4 linked regions of the Ovis aries genome follow. The protein of the gene in region 1 purifies or fractionates together with the protein of each later gene. This does not show direct contact. Links are inferred from orthologs where the notes say so. Each region holds a gene or a part of one and is shown in the gene's direction. Other genes may lie near its edges.

Region 1 (5,068 bases):
GACAAGAGGTCCACTCAGGCCCGTAGCACCTCTGAAGAGAACAGGACTGGGCCTCCAGCAGGTTTTCCCTCCAGGGAGGCTGGTCATTATGACTCAGCAGAGCGAGGGCCTGTGACCAGAGAAATGGCCATTTATAGCCTGGGGGAGGGAAACCAGGAGCCTCCCGCTCAGAGAGGAAAAAATGTCTGCCCTGTTCCTGGAAGCCTTATGATGTGGCAAACGATCATTTTCTTTCCCCTCTGAAGCGGTAGTGTCAAGGAATTGACTAACCGTCACATGTTGGAAAACTGCTTTGAATGGTAGGGATAGAGAGCAATGGCACCCACACTGTCACTTAGTCATACAGGTGTAAAGGGCCAGCTGCCTCCGTGACCATCCTTTGAGCGGTTGTTCCACAACCTGCAGACCCTACTGAGTTAATTTATAATCTCTTTTTGGTCCAATAGAAACTGCAAAATAAAAATACAAGCAGGTGGACTTCTCTCTTGGTCCAGGGGTTGAGACGTCACCTTCCAGTGCAGGCGGCGCAGGTGTGATTCCCCGATTGGGGAGCTGAGATCCCACGTGCCTCAGGGCCGAGAAACCAAAACACAGAACAGAGGCAGTGCACGTATGCTCAGTTGTGTTCAACTCTTTGTGACGCCGTGGACTGTAGCTGGCCAGGCTCCTCTATCCGTGGGACTCTCCAGGCAAGAATACTGGAGTGAGTTGCCATGCTCTCCTGCAGGGGATCTTCCTGACCCAGGGATTGAACCTGTGTGTGTCTCCTGCACTGCAGACAGGTTCTTTACCACTGTGCCACCTGGGAAGCCCCCCAAACACATCCAATCAAGACTCCAGAAATGGTCCACATCAGAACAAAACCCTGCAACAACAACAAAAAATTAAAAAACAAAACAAAAAAACAAGCAGGGCCAAACCTTGACAATAATAGATGGTAGGTTTCCCAAAAAGCAAAGTCCCAGAGTGCACAAGAAAATCAGAAACACAGGCCGACTGTCTCTTCTTGGTGTGTTTCCCTGCCCGCCTCCACCTGCGTCTCTGCCCACCCCTGCGCAGCCGCCCTTGCCTGAGTGCCACTAACGCTACTCCACAGAAGTTGGCTATTGGTCTCCTTTTACTTAAACGACCTCCCTTCCCCGGAAGATGATTCCGTAGAGAACCATTCCAGGGCTTAGCAACTCTCAGGTCAGGAAATCCTCCCGTGCCCCAAACCTGGATGAGGCAAGAGGGATTTGTTTAGATCTAAGCCCGTTTCCTCTTGTTTTGGCCCCTTGTTGATGGAACAGCTGTTCATGAGGCTGTGTGGTTGGCATCTGTTCTGTTGCTGAGGTCCAGAAGGGCTGGTGCCAGGATAATAGTTTTTTTATTCTCTCCCACACTGGAGAACCTCTCTAAAAGAAGAGCTGGAGGTGGGGGATGACAGACATCTTTGTGGGTCCCAGGACTCAATTGTGGCCTCATGGAAACCCCTAGTGGCTCTTCCCTTTTTCTTTGTCATCACTGTAAAGAAAGCATTCCTTCTTCATCTCCCCCTGCACATCCTCCTTTGTGTATCTGCATTCTAAACCGAAGTCTTGTGCCTAAAGCTTTTCTTCCAGCTTCAGGATGCGTTCATCCCCAAGGCAGTCTCCCCATCTCTGGAAGAAGGGCTCCTTAGCCATTATCTCTGGGCCCACAGCGCCACCCAGTGGCCAGTATAGGTGCAACCAGCCCTAGCTTCCCAACAGCTCTCCTCTGTGAAGCGTAGGGTTCAAGTTCTCCCCTGGTTTGGTTTCCTGCTTGTTCAATGACCCCATTAACCTGAGCATCTTTCTCCTTTACAGGTGGCTATGAAAGGTTCTCCTCTGAGTACCCAGAATTCTGTTCCAAGACCAAGGCTCTGGCAGCCATCCCACCTGCTGTGCCCCCAAGCACGGCAGAGTCTTTGGATCTGAGCTGCAGCTCCTGTGGAACCCCACTGCACGACCAGGTGCGGGCTGAGATCAGACTTCTGCTTGTCAGAGGCTCAGGACTCAGGGCCTCAATGCTGGGTGAATTGATGAACCCTGAGTGTTGGGATGCGACCTTAGGTGGAATCCATCATTCCTTTGAAATTCTTCCCCTTCCTTCTCTCATTACCCTTACTTAAAAAAAGAATGTAAAGACATAAGTCCCTGACTTCGCTCCCAGAGTTATGTGCAGAGAAGCAAGGAGCCCAGAAGTGTGTGGGCTGTTCTGTGGGAAGCTGAGACCCCAGCCCTGGCTTACAACAGGCAGAGCTGTCCGCCCCCCATACAAGCTAATCATAAATGCTAAGTGAACATCAGTGGACAACCAACCCTTCTAAGAAAACCAGCTCATGCCACTATGATTCTTACAAGCACGCCCCTTCCAGCCCTCTCCTTTAGACAGAGATGGAGTAAAATGATGGGGTCCCGCAACTCTGCTCCACAAACCCCACATCACTTGTGTTGATCTGCCTCAGAATCGTGTCATTAGCAAAGCCAACATAACCTCCTTTTGCCAGGATCCCCCCTCTTATCTTTGAGGTTGCTGTGGCGTCTGTTTTTGATCTGCAGCAAGTAGCTTAGTGGTAGCAGGTGTAAGCTCCTCACATCACAAACGATGAACAAGGCCCGCATTGCGTCTTCTGCCTCACTGGTCACCGGGGGCGGAGGGGAGGTGGGCTGCTTGAACCAGAGAGGGGAGCCCAGCATCAAGGCAGAGTAGAGCATCAAGGCCAGAGAGGTCCCACTGAGCGCATCACTCCCTCCTGGAGCCCCAGCAGGACATGGGGAGACCTGGAGGGGCTGTGTCCACAGGCCATCTTCCCACAGCCCTTGACAGCAGCACCCCCACCCCAGACTGGCTCCCTCTCCCCGTCCTACCGCCCCAGCCCTCTGCCCTGCTGTTTTATACTTATGATGTTTGGGGGGGCCCCTTTGTTCTCCCCTTCTGCAGGGGGGTCCGGTGGAGATCCTGCCCTTCCTCTACCTCGGCAGTGCCTATCATGCGGCCCGCAGGGACATGCTGGATGCCCTGGGCATCACAGCCTTGCTGAACGTCTCCTCTGACTGCCCGAACCACTTCGAAGGACACTATCAGTACAAGTGTATCCCAGTGGAAGACAATCACAAGGCTGACATCAGCTCCTGGTTCATGGAGGCCATTGAGTACATCGGTAGGCTGGCCCTGGCCGGGGTGCTGGGTTCAGGGATGGGGCGCTGGGTGCAAGGCTGGCAGAGACAGGAAGCGAGGGAAGAAGGAACCACTTGGAGCTAGAGTGTTGAAGGAGGAACTTAGAAAGGGCCCTGCCCAGAGGATGCCTGTTTTCCCTCTTTCTCAGTAGGAAGGCTGGCCCTTGGGGTATTGAATTGCCCAGGGGTAGGAAGATGGACTTATATAAACCACAGGCACTGGTAGCTGATAGAGCCAAGAACTTTTGCCTTGGGTGTCCCACCTGCCAAGCAGATAAGACTTAGGGGTGGAGAGGAAGACACAGAGAGAACTGGGTCATTGTTTTTGCTCCTGCAAATGAAAACCCCTCCGTGTGTGCTGGCACCGGGCTTTAGCATGTGTGTTTCCTAAGCCCGGCACATTTGTCTGGTTAAGTCTCCAAAATAGCCCAGAACCGATGGCACTCCCTGGCCCGGTGGGTTTCCTCTCTCCTGGCCTCAGCCTTGGAAGGCTGTCCCTTCCGTGGTTCAGAGGGAGGGCCCCGACCAATGCTTCTCAGATCCTCCCCACAGCGCCCTCATCCCGCCCAGGGAAGGACAGGGACTTGGGGACACTAACGGGCGCGTGGCTCTCTGCCCCAGATGCGGTCAAGGACTGCCGCGGGCGCGTGCTGGTGCACTGCCAAGCTGGCATCTCCCGCTCGGCCACCATCTGCCTGGCCTACCTGATGATGAAGAAGCGTGTGCGGCTGGAGGAGGCCTTCGAGTTTGTCAAGCAGCGGCGGAGCATCATCTCGCCCAACTTCAGCTTCATGGGCCAGCTGCTGCAGTTCGAGTCGCAGGTGCTGGCCACGTCCTGCGCGGTGGAGGCCGCCAGCCCGTCGGGGCCCCTGCGCGAGCGGGGCAAGGCCACCCCCACGCCCACGTCACAGTTTGTCTTCAGCTTCCCGGTCTCCGTGGGGGTGCACCCGGCCCCCAGCAGCCTGCCCTACCTGCACAGCCCCATCACCACCTCCCCCAGCTGTTAGAACCCTCAGAACGCCCCCCCACCCCCACACCAGCCCGTGTCAGGTGGGGCCCGGTGGCCGGGTAGCAGGTCCGGACTGACCCGCAGGGGGCCTGGTGACCAAGCTCCTTCCATCCATCTCTCTTTGGCTGGGGCCAGCTAGAATGGCAATAAGGACCTCAAATACATATTTAAACGCAGACAAACAAAACACTCCAACTTAGAGCAATAACAGCTTCCTCGGCAGGCAGGGAAGACCTGGGTCTTGGTTTGTGTCAGTTTTACTTTTCAGATAGGAATTTCTTACCTCATTTTTTTTTTTTTTTAAAGCAGTAAGGCTTGAAGTTAGGAAACCCACAGATCCTGGCAAATGTGCCCCTTTATTAAGGGGGGTGGTGGTGGTGGAGGGGAGGCAAAGGGCCAAAAACAAGTTGACCAGAAGTGCCTGCTTCTGTGTGCTTGGTCCTTTTCTTGTTGTAGTTACAGGAATTATTATTTTTTTTTTTGAAGAAATCTTTTAGGACATGGTTTTCCTTTTTAAGTCACCATCAACAGGTGAATACTTAAGCTTAATAATAAATAAAAGTATTTATTGAGAATTTCCTCAGAGTGTGTGAGGACACAGTCTGGGGACCGTGACTTTAGAATATATTGATGCTGGTGTGGACCTGCGGAGCACAGGCAGCATGCAGACGTCAGTACAGTGAGGTGGTGTGTTCGAGATGGCGTGACGATCAGCTTGCATTTGCTACTGCTGGGAAGGGGGCAGGGTGGGAGGAGGAGAAAGGGAAGCGAGGACGTTGTTAGCATTGACCCTGGGTATCCGTGGGAGATTGGTTCCAGCACCCCCTCCTTCCATCTCGGATACCAGAACCTGTGGGTGCGTACATCCGCAGATAGCGCA
Region 2 (5,068 bases), on another chromosome or scaffold:
AAATAAACACGCTGTTCTGTTGTCTTACTCTTGACCTAAAATTGTCTTATACCCTGTAAAATCCAGTGAGTTAGATTTAGTATTATACTTTTTTTTTTTTTTGGAGAATTGCTATTTTAAGTGACAGCATGATCATTGTTTTTTAAAGTATTTGCTGTAAAACCACTGATTGTCATAAATAATGTGCAGTGTGTCACTTTGTCTTGGAATTGTGATCTTAGGCGCTCCCTAGTAGAAATTAGCACCAAGAAAAACTATCATGCAAAGAGTTGACATACTTTCCTTTCTTAGATAAGAATTCTATAGACTCACTTTATTGTGTTCCTTCAGTCTCCAGGAAACTGAGTCAAATATAGTGCTTAATGTTGGTAACTACATCGGCCAGCAAGGTTAAGCATAAGAACTTCCACCTTTTAGTGACGCCTCTCACCCATCCTACACCTGTTTTAATGACTTGTTTTATATATATGTCTTTTATTGCAAGCTACCCTCAAAGCTTTTTGGAAAGTGAGATAATGGGATATATTTAAACTGCCAAATAGCCTGAGCAGTTAGACCTGTAGAGCTCTTTTTATGTTTGAATCAGGCTTTTCATATTCTGAGGACAGTCTTCATTTGCCCAGACAGTGCTTGCAATAGCCTCTCATGCTTGTAGCTTTAGAAATGTTTTAAAATATGTTTTTCTCAAGATTATGTACATAAATTATGTCCTAGATATCTAACTAAAGCTTGCTATTCTCTATAAAATCCACAAGGAAAAAATTGTTGTAATAGATTTTTGCCAGAAATGAAAACCCTGGAAAAAAATTTTGTCTGAACTGATAGGTAAACATTAACTTTCCCTCTAAAATTTTATCCTTGGAAGTTGAATTATGCCATAGATACAAAAAGATTTGTATGTATTCTAATGTGAAATTTTAGAGAAACTTTAGTTCCACAGGATTTCCAAAATTTACTCCTAAATATAGCTCCTAAAATTCTGTAATGAGCTAATAGTCTCCTTATGAGTGTACTAGAAAGTATGGATTTTAAGTTCCCAAGTTGTCCTGCATGGTTAAAGGTGCATCTCTAACATCTATTCTTGCCCTTTTATTCTTTTGCTATTAAAAGAGTTGAAGTCTTCAGACTGCAAAAACAAATGCAAGTTTCTAAAACTTCCCTTCAAATTGCTTATTCTTCCCCTTCTTGTATTAAACTGTAAGCACCTTCTCTTTTTATCTGTTTTCAAACCCAAAGATATAAAGTGTCAGGGTATGTGGTTAGTTTTAATGAAATGGGTGGAGATCCTCAAATTGCTCATTTCTGTGTCTGGCGCATTCTTTTCAACATTGGTTGGAACTCTCATTTAAAATTAACAAGCGTCACAGGATTTCCCTGGTGGTCCAGTGGTTAAGACTCCTACTTCTACCACAGGGGACGCGGGTCAACACTTGGTCATCCCGTGTAGCCAAAATAAATAAAGTCGGCAAGGGTCAGTAAGTCTAGTAGGAGACTCTGTAGATGATAAATTTGCGGGAGCTTTCATACTGTGTTCAGCCGAAACCAACTTCTTAAACCAAAAGTGGTTTAGTTCTACAAGTTTAAAACACTTTAGGTGGAAAACATGAAATGTACTTTTTTTGCTGTGTTTTCTTGATTATTTGTTCATTCTCTATGAACTTGGGATAGTAGAGTAAATGCAACATGGTGTTGCCAAGAAGACAAATGATTTTCTATTCAGAGTAAACGTAGCACTTCTCAAAACAGATTGATGAACTCCAACTTGAAAATTTCCGAAGACCGTTAGGTTAATGTTTTAACTGTAATTATTCATAGAAGCGTTATTTCTGTTAAATATTTTAATATGCTGGACTGTTTCTGCTCATGCTTTTTTCTTTTATTTTACTTAAAGAGAGAGGATAATGCACAGTTGAACCTCCAAATAGTATCAAGGTTTTATTTTTTAAATTTTGGTACCTCATGTGCATTTTCAGCCTTATTTGTAAATCTGTGTTGGTTCATTTTCATATTTTGTAAGTAAACTTTCAGGGGCAGACTATGGGTTTTAAAATCATATGATTTCTGTGCATAGCTCTCCCTTTAAATTAGATATGTAGCTAAAAGGCTACACTTCACGTTTGCTTTTGTGAATCAAAGCCTTTTGAAAAATATTTTATGTTTTAAATTATTCCATTAGCTAAAATTAAAGTCACTTTTTTCTTTCTGTGATGTTTTGCAGTTTTTATATAAAGCAGTCATGTTATGCTTCTTTGATTTTAACGACCTTTTGCTTTGCTTTTCCTTCTTTTGTGCTGCAAACATATAGTGGATTTATGGTCTGTGGGGTGCATTATGGGAGAAATGGTTTGCCACAAAATCCTCTTTCCAGGAAGGGACTGTATCCTTGCGCTGCTGCAGCAGTTTGATCAGTTAGGTGACGGGCTTCCTTATGTTCCCTAATGAAAATGAGTATGTACATCCACACATGTGGGTTTCTTTTAAACAGACGTAAAGTTTGTGGCTGTTACAGTTCAGATTCTGAGATGTTTGTAGGCTGCATTCGGCAGTAGGACATACAGTCTCTGCTGGCAGGTAGAGCACACTCACTGTCACTCATTTTTATTTTGTACTGCTTTCTTTAATTTTGAAGTATACATGGTGTGTGTGATTTTTTTTAATGTTTATATTTTTTTTATTTTAACCAAAATCTTTATGTTAATGTCATTGCATTTTGTTTTCAGTTGACATTTGGTCAGTTGGGTGCATCATGGGAGAAATGATCAAAGGTGGTGTTTTGTTCCCAGGTACAGATCGTATCCTTATCTTTGGCCTAAAATGTAGTTTCTAAAGGTCAAAATGTAAGACAACACTTCAGCTTGATCAGGTATAATGTATTTTGTCTCTCCCTAGTAAAGTATTGTTAAATTACTCTTTAAAATACCACCTGCTATTTGACATAGACTTTCCTTTCCCTCACCGATTGTCTCATTTGTTAATTCTGAAAACTACTCAAGTTAATTATCCACAGTTACTTGTTGGCTTTGAGTTAATTTATTTAACCTGAATCAAAAATCATGGCTTGCATTAAATTTTTCTAATAATTATACACTTGAGTAAGTCTAGAAGTACTTAGGACATGATATGAATTTTGAATTGTTGTTCCTGGTCACCCTTTTGTTTTGTCCTCCCCACCTTCTGTTTTGTTAATGTTCTGTGTGTTCTGTGTCTTTTGGTTGTTGTCTCATTTCTCTACATAACATACTGATCTTTTCATCTGAGAGTTTCAGCAGTAACAGTTGTATATGGTGATGAGTAGATTTGGGTTCATGATTTTTGTTCATCTGACTACTGATATTTGTAGTAACATTGATCTGTTATTGTGTTTATCAGCTAGTGACACTTAGAATTGTTTTAAGAAGACAAATGGGAGAAACCGTATTCATTGGGTTATAGTAAGAAAGTTTTAGGTCTTAATCCATGGGGAGCACTTGAAGTATAAAGACTAAAGACTGGGAGGAAAGAAACCAGGGAATTCTAGCCTTATACCTTAACCAAAATAGTGAGTCATTTTCTCAGACTTCAGAGCTTTAAAATATTTTAGTTAACATAAGCTAAACAGAGAATTGCAAAAAGGAATGCCATCATTTTTATTGCTGCTGCTTATTTTCTGTTAATTTAGAAAACTCAGAAAAGGACAGATGATAAATATTTCTTATCTTCTCAGAAATGCAGTCACCTTTTCTGATAAGCTAGAAGAAAAGGCAAATTCTGTGTTCAGAATTGTGTCCAGTTTATATGTAGAATCTATATGGGCAGGAATTACCATTTTCCTTTGAGCCACTCATCATTTGTATTTGGAATTTGTGAGTTTAAGCTTCCATTTTTATGAGAAAATCAGTATTAGTAGACACACACATACACCTAGTAAATAAGGTTAACAAAGCTTGTCATTGATTCTTTCTGTCCACCTACAGTCATTGCCTTTTGCAAGGTGGCTATAAGATTTATAACTGCCACATTCTTTCTTAGAATTTTAAATTGCTATTTTCTTGTTATTTTAATATGGATATGACTAATATGTTGAACATTAGATGCACAGTATTTTTCTTAGCTACTTGATACTAGATATTGATCAGTGGAATAAAGTTATTGAACAGCTTGGAACACCATGTCCTGAATTCATGAAGAAACTACAACCAACAGTAAGGACTTATGTTGAAAACAGACCTAAGTATGCTGGATATAGCTTTGAGAAGCTCTTCCCTGATGTACTTTTCCCAGCTGACTCGGAACACAACAAACTTAAAGGTACTTTTAAAAATAATATCTTTAATTCCATTGTGGGTAGGTGGCTGTTTGAAGAGGAGGTTTATGGGGGTGTATTTATATTGTTACGGGATGTAACTCAACAGTATTTCTGAGTAATGGAACAGTGTGAGGTTTTAGTTATTTTTAGTTATATTTTTAATCATATGTATGACCTAATTTTATAGTAAATCTATTCTTTTTAAAGCATTTTTTAGTACATGGTAATTTCAGATTTCTGAAATTTATTGATAATTTTAAAACCTTATAAGATACGTTACATAAACATCTTATTATTTTTGCAGCCAGTCAGGCAAGGGATTTGTTATCCAAAATGCTGGTAATTGATGCATCTAAAAGGATTTCTGTAGATGAAGCTCTCCAGCACCCGTACATCAATGTCTGGTATGATCCTTCTGAAGCGGAAGCTGTAAGTTCTTTTCTGAATGTTTGAAGAATATATTGTACTCTTAGAGTTGAAGTTAGGTTTAGCGTATATATTTTTTTAATTTTAAATAAAAATATAAATAAATGATGGTGGTGCTTTCTGTTTTTGCATGAAAAATTCCTTTAGAGAATGAACATATCCAAGTACCTCCTACACAAAATAAACTTCCCTCCCATTGTTTCTTGCCTTTTTGCCGTATTACCATGTAAGTTGAGCTATGATGTTGAGCGCTTTGAGAAAACATCGTAACTTTGTTGTAAAGAAATTATTGTGTCCAAAGCATAGCACAATTCTATGATGTAAATAAAATACAATAGCTGCAAAAACAAGAAAAAA
Region 3 (5,821 bases), on another chromosome or scaffold:
CTCCCCCCAAGACCCCTTAACCTTCTGAAGCTCAGTCCCTGTCACTGCCTCTCCCTGTGTCTGCATTCCCTCTTTGCCCAGTTGCAGTTTTCCACTTGCTTGATTACTGTAGTAATGTCTAATATATTATTCACTTTACCTACGGCTTTAAAAAATACATTTACGTCTTTATTTAGCTGCATCAGGATTTAGTTGCAGTAAGTGGACCTTCCATCTTCCTAGCTGCAAGTGGGATTTAGTTCCCCGACCAGGGATCAACCCAGGGGCTCTGCTCCAGGAGCATGGAGTCTGAGCCACTGGACCAACAGGGAGTCCCTACCTATACCGTTTGTAATCTGTCTCATCCCCAGAAGGGCAGGAATTTTTATGTCTTTCTTTAATTGCTGTATTATTGGTGCCAGAGCAATGTGGTAGATCTAGTAAGTGCTCAATAAATCTGTGTTGAAGAAGTGAATGATTGTGCCACTACTCACTGTAGGCTCCACGTAGGCAGCCGCTATCTGCCTTTCAACCAACTTCCCATTAGAAGTGCCTGGTACCTAGTAGGCATTCAATATATATTTGCTGAGTGAGTGAGTGTATTGCTCATCTTTATTCTTTTGCTCACTCTCATGTCATCATCCCAATTTGTTGGATAAATACATGAATTTCTTAGAATTCCAGCTTCCAAGTTTTCCCCCTTTTATCCATGCACTCACCTTGATCCCCTACTCTTACCTCTCATATCTTTACAGCTGCATTTTTGCTCTTGCTTCCTCCTACCTCCAATACTTCTTAGAAAGCTCACTATCTGCAGTTTGGCTTGGAACATTTTTAAGCAACATGTCTTCTAAGGCAAGAGAATCTAGGCTGTCACACTGAATCCAAAGAAAGCTTTCCGCAGATCACCTACGACCCTTGTTTTGGGTTTTATTTTATTTTTCCTTGACAGCTGAGGATCCTGCAATGCCACCTTAGTTGAGATCATGTCCTTGTTCATAATTTGCTCAGCAAATACTTATGGAGTAACTTCTATGTTCGAGGCCCTGAGCTAGATGCTGGGACAAGATAGGCAAAATTTGAGCACTTCAAGGGATGCATAACACAAAAGAGAATAGTCATGGATAGTGATGGGAAGTGTCCTGGCTTGAGCCCAGTTAGTTCTAAAAGAAATGACCAAGAATAAGATAGGGTCCAATTCTGCTTATTGAAACAAGTTTTAGGGTAGGAATAAGTTAATAGTGACATGAAGGTATGGGGTTATAATACCTTGCCCATTCACATTTATTATCTTGTTCAGCTTTCAGGTGGGAAATTTCAGGGCAGCAATTCTTTTTTGCATAAACTGGAACTAAGGTCTAAGAAAGGTCAATTGACTTGCCCAACAGGATACTGCCAGAAAACCACTATCTGCACTGTTCTTACTCTGAGAGGCATGATTACAATTCTTAAAACCCTCTTTGCTGGAAGCTCTTCAAGGTAGGAATCAGTTTCAAACCTTCAGGGTAAAGGTTTTAAAATGTTTCTCCAAGGGAGATACCAAGAACTTTTCTGAACCTGGCGCATTTTGTAAAAATGCACAGTCTTGGAGTCCCTCTGGGACCCATCTAATCAAACTCGCTGTTCATTTTTAAGCGCCCAAGGTGCTTCTTCTGCACGTAAAAGTTTGAGAACTACTAGAAGTGTCTGGGTGGAAAAACCTCAACCTTAATTCAGGGCTAATATTTACCTTTGAGACAGATTTCGTCAGCATTCCGAAGAGTAAGTGTATGTCCTTGAGCAGATGGGACTACAACGGCTTTCTGGCCGGAATCTTTCTCTTTTTTATGCAAGTACTTCTTGGAAATTGGGGGTTTTCCGCCGAGCAGGTGCTCAGCTGCTGGTGATTACCCACCGTTTAAAGGTCTTTTGGCTCTTTTCCCAGACACCCGATTGATTTGTCACTGTCTCTTTCCAACAGGGAGCCAAGCACTTGCCCCGCCGACCACGATGGGGCGCGCGCGGCCTGTATCGTCTGCTTCTCCGCTCCTTCCCGGGTCCGCCTTCGCGCGCTAAAGGAGAGCAATCCCTGGGAGTTCCTGCCTCTAGGGGCCAGCTGTTGCTCTCTTCTCGCGAGAATTACTTCTCCCAAGCTCTCCCTTCATCAACCCCCCTCCCGCGGGCAGGTTCCATATTGGGTAAAATCTCGGCTCGAGGAGAGGTCCGGGAGCTGTTCTCGCGAGAGCACGGCGGGAGGCTCCTGTTCGCTGGCTCTGGGAAAGGCGACCACTGGAAGCTCCGCGGGCGCTGCAGCTGGAGCTGTGACCCCGCCGCGCAGCCGGGAGTCGGCCGGGTGTGGAGAGAGCGCAGGGAGAGCTGGGCGGGGCGCCAGCCCAGGGCCCCGGAGCGTGCCCCGGCCCTTCGCAGTGCTTCCCCCGCCGTCGGTGAGGCGCGTCCAGCCGCTGCGGCTGACAGGGGCCGCGCGCGCGCGCGGGCTTCTTCAGGGTCGCCGCAGCCGCACCTGCGCGGGCGGCCAGCGCAGGGGTCCCCGCCCGGCCGGGCGGGCTACGAGGTCAGGGGAAGCGGGTGCGGGTGCAGGCGGGGCCCTGCAAGGGCCACCTCCTCGCCCCGCGGCCACCGCTGGAAGATGTCTCAGGAGAGGCCCACGTTCTACCGGCAGGAGCTGAACAAGACCATCTGGGAGGTGCCCGAGCGTTACCAGAACCTGTCCCCGGTGGGCTCCGGCGCCTATGGCTCTGTGTGGTGAGTGTCACCGGGCCGGGGGCCTCGCTGGGCCGGGTGTCTCCGTATGCCCTGGAGTCAGGCCTGCCCCCACGGCTCAGCAATGCACCCAGCGGCAGGAATTTTCCTTGGGGGGAGGGCATCCCAGCCCTCTTCGACCCCTGTCCTGCACTCCCTGTCCCCCTTGCACCCCCACCCTGCACGCCCACGTAGATGGTCAGCTGTGTGTAGGACGCAGGTCCGCTGTGGGCGGTGGGTGATGGTGTTGGAGCCGGGCCCTGACTCGCACCCTGCGCGTTCCCTTGGGGGTGGGGGTGGGGGTGGGGGGGCGGTGCTGCTACGGGGGCAGGAACAGGGGTCCCTCTTCGGAGGTCTCTCCCTGCTGGCATCGAGCAGAAGGACTCTCTCGAGATGTGCCTGCCCTCGGAGCAGACAAGCCCGGGAAGCTGCCCGGAGAAGCAGAAGGGCAAAGCTCGACTGCGGTCATCTGAACAAAACTGAGGACGAAGGGCGTTGAGTTCGGGCTTTTTTGCAAACCTCTGTCGAAATTGCATTTTGAGAAGGGTTCTTTTTGAATTCGCACTTGAATTAGCAGCTATCCAGGGAGCTTAAAATACCGACTTTATCTCGGTGAGCCCTGTGCCAGCTTGAGTGGTGTGTTTCCGATTCAGTTGAAAGCGTATTTCCTTTTCGCAGAGTGGGGGGTGGTGGTAGTGCCTGCAGCTTGAGAAGCTGGCGGCCTCGCTGATTAGTCACATACCACTGCTCATTTAAGTATTGTTTGACAAAACGATTTTCTCCTTTGGAGCAAGTGAGGTTCAGATCCGTTGGACGCCCTCAAGATCAAAAAGTTTTTAACAATGCTGCGATGTATTATAAATATTTTTTAATCGTGATAATTCTTGTGAAACACTGTGTTTTTAAAGTCCTTTAGAGGGTTTGCAGAGAACTTAATCTGCACTTAAGGCCTGAGAGGTACATAATGGTTTTCATGGGATATGGAATATATAGCAAAAGAAGGAAGAGACACTTTTCAGCTTTAATTCACACTATGAATGTCTTTTAAATGAAACGCTACTGTAAAATTTCCAGACTCAGTTCACTAACTTTTCTAACTTCTAAGGTTTTATACACTGTATTTTAGATTTTGTGTAATTTGAGAGCTGACCTGAAGCTAATTCATGTAATTCCTGTGCATGCATTATTTGCAAAGAGGTCTACAAAATTAGTTTTTTGTTTCGGGGCAGGTTCCAGGCTTTTAGACTTGGTAATCTTTGAATATAATTCCTGTGTTTCTTAAAGCCCCAGCATGAATTTCCTGTTTGGTAGAATCTTCTGGGTAATTGAGATTGTGCAATTGTGTCCAGCAACAGATCATATTGCGTTTTCTAGTTCAGGCTGCTTGAGTGATGTCGCTGATGGCCCTATGCTTGACATCTTTTTTCCATTTTTATAGCGTGCTGTTGATTCGCTAATTTTCGAAGATGTGTTTGGATCATTGCTGCTTTAATAGCTCACTTGTTTACGGCCAGTTTTCATTCTGGAATTGACACATTAATTTTTGTGGTACTGAATTTTTGTTTCCTATCATTGTTGTTTAAACTTTAGTGGAGTGATACGGCTCAACTGTGGGGAGTTAGTGAACTGCTTGCAAGGTTTCCCTACAGTTGATGTGAGTAACTCAGCCCTGGCACTGGAGATCCAGTGAAGTGCTGATAAAACATGAACTCCACATTTTTTAGTGCTTTATTTTTCTGGTTTATAGAAGCCATCAAAACTGACACTTGGAAGTAATTTTGTTAAACAGGTTTTTAAAAGTAGGTAGTACATTCACATTGTATAAAATGTAAAAGGCATAGAAAGACAGTGAAAAGTTTCCATTCTCTTTGTCCAGCTGGACTAGTTCTTTTCTCAAGAGACCACCCCTGTTAAGTTTCTTGTGTGTCTTTCTGTGGAGGCAGTTCTGCTAAGGTTGTTTAAGGTGTAACCTATAACATATTGGTGGAGAAAAATAACCAATATTATGTGACAGTTGACCGTAAACAAGTATAGTTGATTTTGGATTGAAAATATCAGAATTTACATTCACATGTGTTATCTCATTCAGAGTAGTTATTTCAAGTTGTTCTTTCAGTCAGCAGCTTTTAGGTGTGGCAGAAAAAAAAAATGTTTTTTAAACTTCTCTTAGAATCCACTTTGGAGCCTGTGTTATTTTTCACTCTCTTCATTTTTTTTTTAGAGCAGATTTGATTTTAGGAAATAACGAAGTTAGATTGAATCCAAATCATTTAGAGAATTTGGGCTCAAGTCTGGTGAAAAAGATCAGGCAGCCAGGCTGGTGATACTGTTTGAGGTCAAATAGGAGTTGTAACCGTAAAGTAATGACACAGAATTTCCTGTGGGACTTGTAGAACTGGATTGAAGTCTGTTCCAAAAAAGAATCTCTGAAAGTATTTCAAGGAATGCAACATCACTGAAATAATGTGTCAGTTTCCTAATTTGATTGCTCTGAAGTGTGATACACTTTGATGTGTTAACTTTAAAAATTAAATAATAAGCCAATTTTCAGTGTTTTCATTTGTACTAAGTATCTAGTAACGCAAGTATGATAACTAATCGTGAATGAAAGATCAAGAAATCAAAATAGAACTTTGAGTATTAGAGTTTTACAAACATACCTTTCCTTCTTAAGGGGTAAAGGGAACTAAACTAAAGCTTGCAGCTTTAAGGAACTTGGTGCGCTGTCAGTGAGGGGAAATGAAGCAAAATTGTTCAAGAGTACGGTGTTGCAAAGCATTGATTTTGTGGTTTAGGGACGAAAGGGGCGGGGGAGGATCTTTGTGGTGAGTTTAAGGAAATATAAACAGGAACTTAAATGCCCTTCCTCTGGTGTATGCGTTTTCCAGACTCTTGCCTTTGATTATAGGAGGTGCGGCAGTGGTAACCATAAAACAGGTAAGAGATCAGAATTATTCTTAAACCATATTGAATCACTTATTAAGTAATATTTATTGAGCACCAACTATGGACCAGCAGCTTAGCACGCACACATCTTTAGGGGCGTCCCAGGTGGTGCTAGTGGTAAGGAACCCACCCGCCTGCCAGTGCAAGAGACACAAGT
Region 4 (5,068 bases), on another chromosome or scaffold:
CACAGAAGCATACTGCTCTGCTGTCTTGTCCCTGCTGGTGGGCTTGTCTCTGCCTCAGGCAATTTCACTCCCTGCTCACCAGGATGTGCTCCCATGCTGATCTGTGTTATCGGCCATCTGCACCGTCCAGGCTTTGTTTTCGAAGCCCAGTTTAACACAGACTCAGAAACACAGTAGGATGTTTCAGATGCTTAGAGCAGTGCAGTCGACCCCCGTTGGAAAATGTCCGTATGGGGTATGCACCATCCCCGTGGGCACGTGCACTCAGAGTCTCACTCCGGTTAGCAGTGTGGCGTGCGTGTCACCCAGTCACGGGCTTGCCGTGGGAGCGTGTCCCACAGGCAAGGCAGGGACCCGGGGAGTGGGGCGGGCTCCGAGCTCATCGGACGCCTGTCCCCTCCTCAGACCTTGGGATGGCCCTGATGCCGTCCCACAGCCCCAGGCCTAGAAAGTTTGTAACCGGTGGCCTTACTGATGTCTTGTTATTTAGGTGTTTTTTTTTTTTTTTTGAATTTTCAAGCAGGTAATTAGGTCACTTCTCCCTGTTTCCATTGACTTCTGTGTTAGTATTTTTCACTCTTGAGCCACCAGGGTGTCAGCTCTGTCAAGTGTCTTAGACCTTTAGCTTTGACTCTGTACAGTCAAGGCCAACAGCAGTCAGCTTCTGGTTTTGGCTTCCATAACATGCTTCGTGCTTGGTACCCAGCCTTGAGACCCAGTACACACTGGCCTCTCCTGGCCTTCCCGGGCCCTCTTCCTGCGGGCACCCTGTCTATTTCTCAGGGCCGCAGAAGAGCGAGGGTTGTGGACCCTATCTGGAGACTGTGCTGGCAGTGTGTTCTTAGTGAAACTTCAGGGGTATGTCATCTCCAGCAGTGTTTGTCCCGGGTGTTTGCTTGCTGAGCCTCCATCCAGCAGCCCCAGGGGAGCCCCGGCTGCTGGGGTCGCAGCGTGTATGCTTCTGGGTGGGCCTAGAAAGGAGGGTCAAAAGGTACGAAATGAAAGATCTTTGGGGCTTTTGTTCTAGGAGAATCTGAATTTACTCAGCCCAAAGGTCGCCAGGTAGGAGGGGTAGGACATTTGACCAGGTCGCTTTCTATTTCCGTACCGTATCCTGGGTGTCTACCTTCCTCTGCATAGAACTGTAGTCACTGTTTTGGGTAGCCTTGGCAGTTTTTTGGTCAGCGCTGTATTAGCTTTCAGTGTTGCAGTGAGCGTCGCATGAGTTCTGTGGATGACCGTGAACAGAGTTTCCCTACGCGTACCTCTTGATTCGTTAAATTATAGCCAGTAATTTTTATCAACTACGAGCGCAGGATACCAATAGAAAAACATGGTCCTCCTTAAGCCAGCTCCCTCTTCTGGAAACTGGTAACTCACAGGGGAGGAGGAAACGCTTCCCTTGTCTTCCCAGTAGGGTCTGGACTTCAAGGTAGGCACAAAGCCCCGGTTGATGAATAACGGTAAAAGTAAATGCCAGCTGATAAAGGCACAAGGGATGATGAAGTTAGAGAAGTCAGCGCTTCGCAGCTCCCAGCAACGTAGCTGGTTGGTGCCGTGCGTTCCTGGGCCCGCTACTCAAGACTCCTGCTCCCTTGGGGGCTCTTGCCGCCTCCCCACGTGGATGCCTGTTTACCTCCCCCCTCCACCCAGGCTGGAGCCTCTCTCAAGCCCCCCAAGATGTCATGGCCTGAAACAGCAGTTGTCTGTTTGAATGCTTAGTTTCTGAGGTCAGAAGTTTGGTCAGGCAGCGGGGGGGTCGGGGGGGGGGGGACTGCTCTGGGCTCAGCCTCTGGACCGCAGCTGAGAGACGCCCTGGAGGCTCAGACCGTCGCCCACAGGCCTGGTGGTTAGTGCCACGGCATGGCCACACGCCGCCCATGTGACCTGGTGTCCCCACGACACGGCCAGAGGCTCCCAGTTCCCCAGGTGGAAGCCACGTTGCTTTTTGTGATCTCACCTCGGAAGTCACGTGGCACCACTTCCAGTATGTTCTCTTGGTTCAGGCAGTTAGAAAGGCTTGCCCAGCTTCCAGAGGAGGGAAGATAAATCCTGCCCTCTTGATGCAAGCTCGGCCCCAGAGCTGTGGCCAGCATGGGGGTCAGGGTTACGTTGGCGTGGCTTTCTTCTGCGGAGCCCTCTGCCGCGGCTGTCTTTAGCTTGCTCTCACCACGTGGGCCGTCTCTGTAGAGGCGGGAGGTCCTGTCCGCCTCCCGAGTGCGGCTCCTGCTTCTGTTCTGCTCCTGGAGGAGGTGGAGATGTCAGCCCCAGGACTGAGCCCGCTGATCTGGGGGCCTGTATGCAGGCTTTTCACCGGGGGTTCCGCTGACCACAGAGAGCTGTGACTCATGTCTGGACCCGGCCACGCCGTGTGAGCCGAGGGTGCCCAAGGGGTGGTGTGTGGCGCGGGCGCGTTGCAGACACGCAGACAGTCCGTCAGCCTGCAGCTGTCCCGGGTGTGGTGGCCTCAGCAAGCCGTCTGGCTGTGGAGGCGAGGCTGGTGCTGGAGGCCAAGGGGCCTCAAGATACCGCAGCGACTGTGCAGCCCTGTCCAGAGTGCCCAGAGCACGGCCCTGGAAGAGCCGCGGAGCGGGCGTGGCGTTGGCTCCTCCTGAAGACGCGCTGACGGGCTCAGAGGACGGAACTGGGCAGCGTGGACGCAGAACTTCAGAGGGCTGCATCGAGGAAGCGGCAGGGCCGGGGGTCAGAGGTGCCGCGGCGGGTGCCAGCCTCCACAGCCGCGAGCCCTGAGGAGGGGGGCGGAGCCTTCAGAGTCATTTTAAGTTGTCTCGACCTCCAGCTGTGGGGTCTCTGCAGAGGCTGGTGTCCGTTAAGTCTTCTGAATATCCCTGCCTCCGTATCTCTGTTTTTATGGACTGAGCTCACCCTTGTCACTTTTCAACCGAATTAAAGCAGTCAGCCTCCAAAGTGATCTCTGTCTTCCAGGCTGCCTTCTGCTGGATTCGTCTGTGTTAGCATCTCTCTCCCTCTTTCTTTCTCTCTGTCTCTCGGATTAGTTCCCCAGGAGCTAGGAATTAAAAGGTCCTGCAGTTGTTGGGGACCAAATAGGTTCCGGTTACTCTCCTTGCACGTTGTAATCTGGAGCAGCCCCGACCGTTGCGTGGTCAAGGCCAGCTTGCGTGAGTCAGGAGAAATTAGAAGCTGGATTTTTTTTGGTAAGGATCCGTCTTCAGTATGTGGAGCGTCTTGTACGGCTTTGGGAGTGGGTTTGACTACAGGAGGGGAAGGAGGTGGGCAGAATAGGCGGGGGAGGTCACGTGTGGAGAGAGGCCCTGCCAGAGAAGCTGGTCCCAGTGGTGACCGTTCCAGCGCTCACTGGGCGCTGGTTTGAGTGACCTTATTCTCCGTGCAGAACTGTTTATCAAGTGGCCTAAGCAGGTTTGCTGTGGGTAAGCAGATAAGTAGAGGCTGCATACCGCTGAAATTGTGTTCTGGGCAAGACCCTCCAACCTGTTCCTTCCTGACACGAGGTGGCTGCCTTCCCGTTGTCGTGAGGAGCAGGTAAGGGTGGGTGTGTGCCGTTGCCTTGCGGCTCTGCCGCCCGAGGATGGTGGCACTTGCTGCCGCCGTCACTGCTGGTGTCCCGCCAGTGTCTGCGGCTCTGCTGCTGGCGACCCTGACTCTCTCAGAAGCTGTCCTGTCTGCTTTCCCCTAGATCTGTGACTTTGGCCTGGCCCGTGTTGCAGATCCGGACCACGACCACACAGGGTTCCTGACCGAGTACGTGGCCACGCGCTGGTACCGGGCTCCAGAGATCATGCTGAACTCCAAGGTAAGGGCCAGGTTTGCATCAGAAGAAATCCGGGAGACCAGAGGACTTAGGGCGTGAGTGGCAGTCAGCGTGGGCTGAGGCTGGGCCTGTCTGGCCAGCCCCAAGGTACCGTCTCGTCTCCCTTCAGCACTGACGTCCCGGCCCTCGGCTGGGCTCGTGCTGGCTTACAGAGCTGCGGGGCGTGCTCCCGCCATCAGCTGCCTGCGTCCCGCCCCCCAGGCAGCCCTCCTCGACCCGGGTGGCTTCCTCCTGTCCGCTGGGCTCTGTGCTCGCACTGTCGTCTGTGAGCGCGGACCAGGGCTCTCCTGTAAGAGTCAGACCTACCTGGTAATGAAGAAGCCTCTTCAGCAAATTGCAATAAAATTGGAAGAAAACATTGGTGAGGGGAAAACGGGAGCTGCTGTGACTCTCTCAGAGTGGCGTGGCCTGCATGACACCCCATGGCGTGGCGGTCCCGCCCCCAGGGGGAAAGCGCACTGCCAGCAGGGCCTTCACTCGCAGGAGGCCACCAGAGAGCCTGTGGGGCGGGCAGAGCCGCGAGGGGCCGGGCGCGTGGCGGCGGCAGCGGGGGCGGCCTCGGGGCCTCGCAAGTCTCAGCACGGCCCGCGCAGGCGGTGTCTGGCCTGCGGCCGGCGCGCCTGAAACCTCTCTCTCATCCTGAGTCTTGCGTCGCAAGGCCTCGAGTCCAGAGCTCCGTCCCGTCTGCCGTGACGTGACGTGTGTGAGGACAGCTGGAGAGTGGTCGCTGGGCTGCGTTCAGGTGTCGGAGCCAGAAGTCGTCCCTAGAGGCTCGGGGGTAGTGAGTGAAGTGCATGGCCCATGGGCCGGCTTCTATCCCTCCAGCCTTGACACGTGAAGGACTAGGGCCTCGCATTAGGTTGCTTTGGGGAGGAAATGGATTTGTTTAAAGCAGGTAGTTACTCTTGGTGTCATACGTGGGGTTAGTCAGCTGTAGAAGTAAAATTCCATCAGTAAATTCCATCGTAAAGAAGAATTCGGCATAACACATGTCTCGCAGAAGAAAACGCTGTGTTGATTCTCTGATAATTCCAGGCGGCAGACAGCACCGCAGGGCAGGCTCCTGTGGATGTCCACGTGAGAGTCGCTCCGTGCCGGGGCGCCCGCAGGCGCGGTGGGGCCCCTCGCCGTCTCCAGGGCCCCCCCAGGAGGGTGGCCTCCGCTCTTGCGCGGTGATTGTCACAGAAACTGGGTTTGGGCCCTCTTAGTCGTGGCTCCTCCAGCCCGAGAGGCCCCTCCCAGCAGTGCGTCTGGCGT

The links.
Region 2: the proteins of DUSP4 (region 1) and MAPK8 purify together in Homo sapiens (affinity purification with western blotting; 3 studies listed by BioGRID and IntAct, with this or other methods). This does not show direct contact. The link is inferred for Ovis aries from reciprocal best matches to the Homo sapiens genes DUSP4 and MAPK8.
Region 3: the proteins of DUSP4 (region 1) and MAPK14 purify together in Homo sapiens (affinity purification with mass spectrometry; 3 studies listed by BioGRID and IntAct, with this or other methods). This does not show direct contact. The link is inferred for Ovis aries from reciprocal best matches to the Homo sapiens genes DUSP4 and MAPK14.
Region 4: the proteins of DUSP4 (region 1) and MAPK1 purify together in Homo sapiens (affinity purification with mass spectrometry; 6 studies listed by BioGRID and IntAct, with this or other methods). This does not show direct contact. The link is inferred for Ovis aries from reciprocal best matches to the Homo sapiens genes DUSP4 and MAPK1.

Annotation. Positions count from the first base shown.
Region 1 is NC_056079.1:24,825,143-24,830,210, reverse strand, and holds part of DUSP4 (dual specificity protein phosphatase 4), read left to right. Parts: intron 1-1,826; coding exon 1,827-1,972; intron 1,973-2,943; coding exon 2,944-3,163; intron 3,164-3,800; coding exon 3,801-4,186; 3' UTR 4,187-5,068. UniProt on the Homo sapiens protein: Regulates mitogenic signal transduction by dephosphorylating both Thr and Tyr residues on MAP kinases ERK1 and ERK2.
Region 2 is NC_056078.1:41,778,266-41,783,333, forward strand, and holds part of MAPK8 (mitogen-activated protein kinase 8), read left to right. Parts: intron 1-2,305; coding exon 2,306-2,377; intron 2,378-2,720; coding exon of another isoform or gene 2,721-2,792; intron 2,793-4,104; coding exon 4,105-4,287; intron 4,288-4,589; coding exon 4,590-4,714; intron 4,715-5,068. UniProt on the Homo sapiens protein: Serine/threonine-protein kinase involved in various processes such as cell proliferation, differentiation, migration, transformation and programmed cell death.
Region 3 is NC_056073.1:10,092,212-10,098,032, forward strand, and holds the start of MAPK14 (mitogen-activated protein kinase 14), read left to right. Parts: upstream 1-2,603; 5' UTR 2,604-2,605; coding exon 2,606-2,721; intron 2,722-5,821. UniProt on the Homo sapiens protein: Serine/threonine kinase which acts as an essential component of the MAP kinase signal transduction pathway.
Region 4 is NC_056070.1:72,076,808-72,081,875, forward strand, and holds part of MAPK1 (mitogen-activated protein kinase 1), read left to right. Parts: intron 1-3,676; coding exon 3,677-3,793; intron 3,794-5,068. UniProt on the Homo sapiens protein: Serine/threonine kinase which acts as an essential component of the MAP kinase signal transduction pathway. MAPK1/ERK2 and MAPK3/ERK1 are the 2 MAPKs which play an important role in the MAPK/ERK cascade.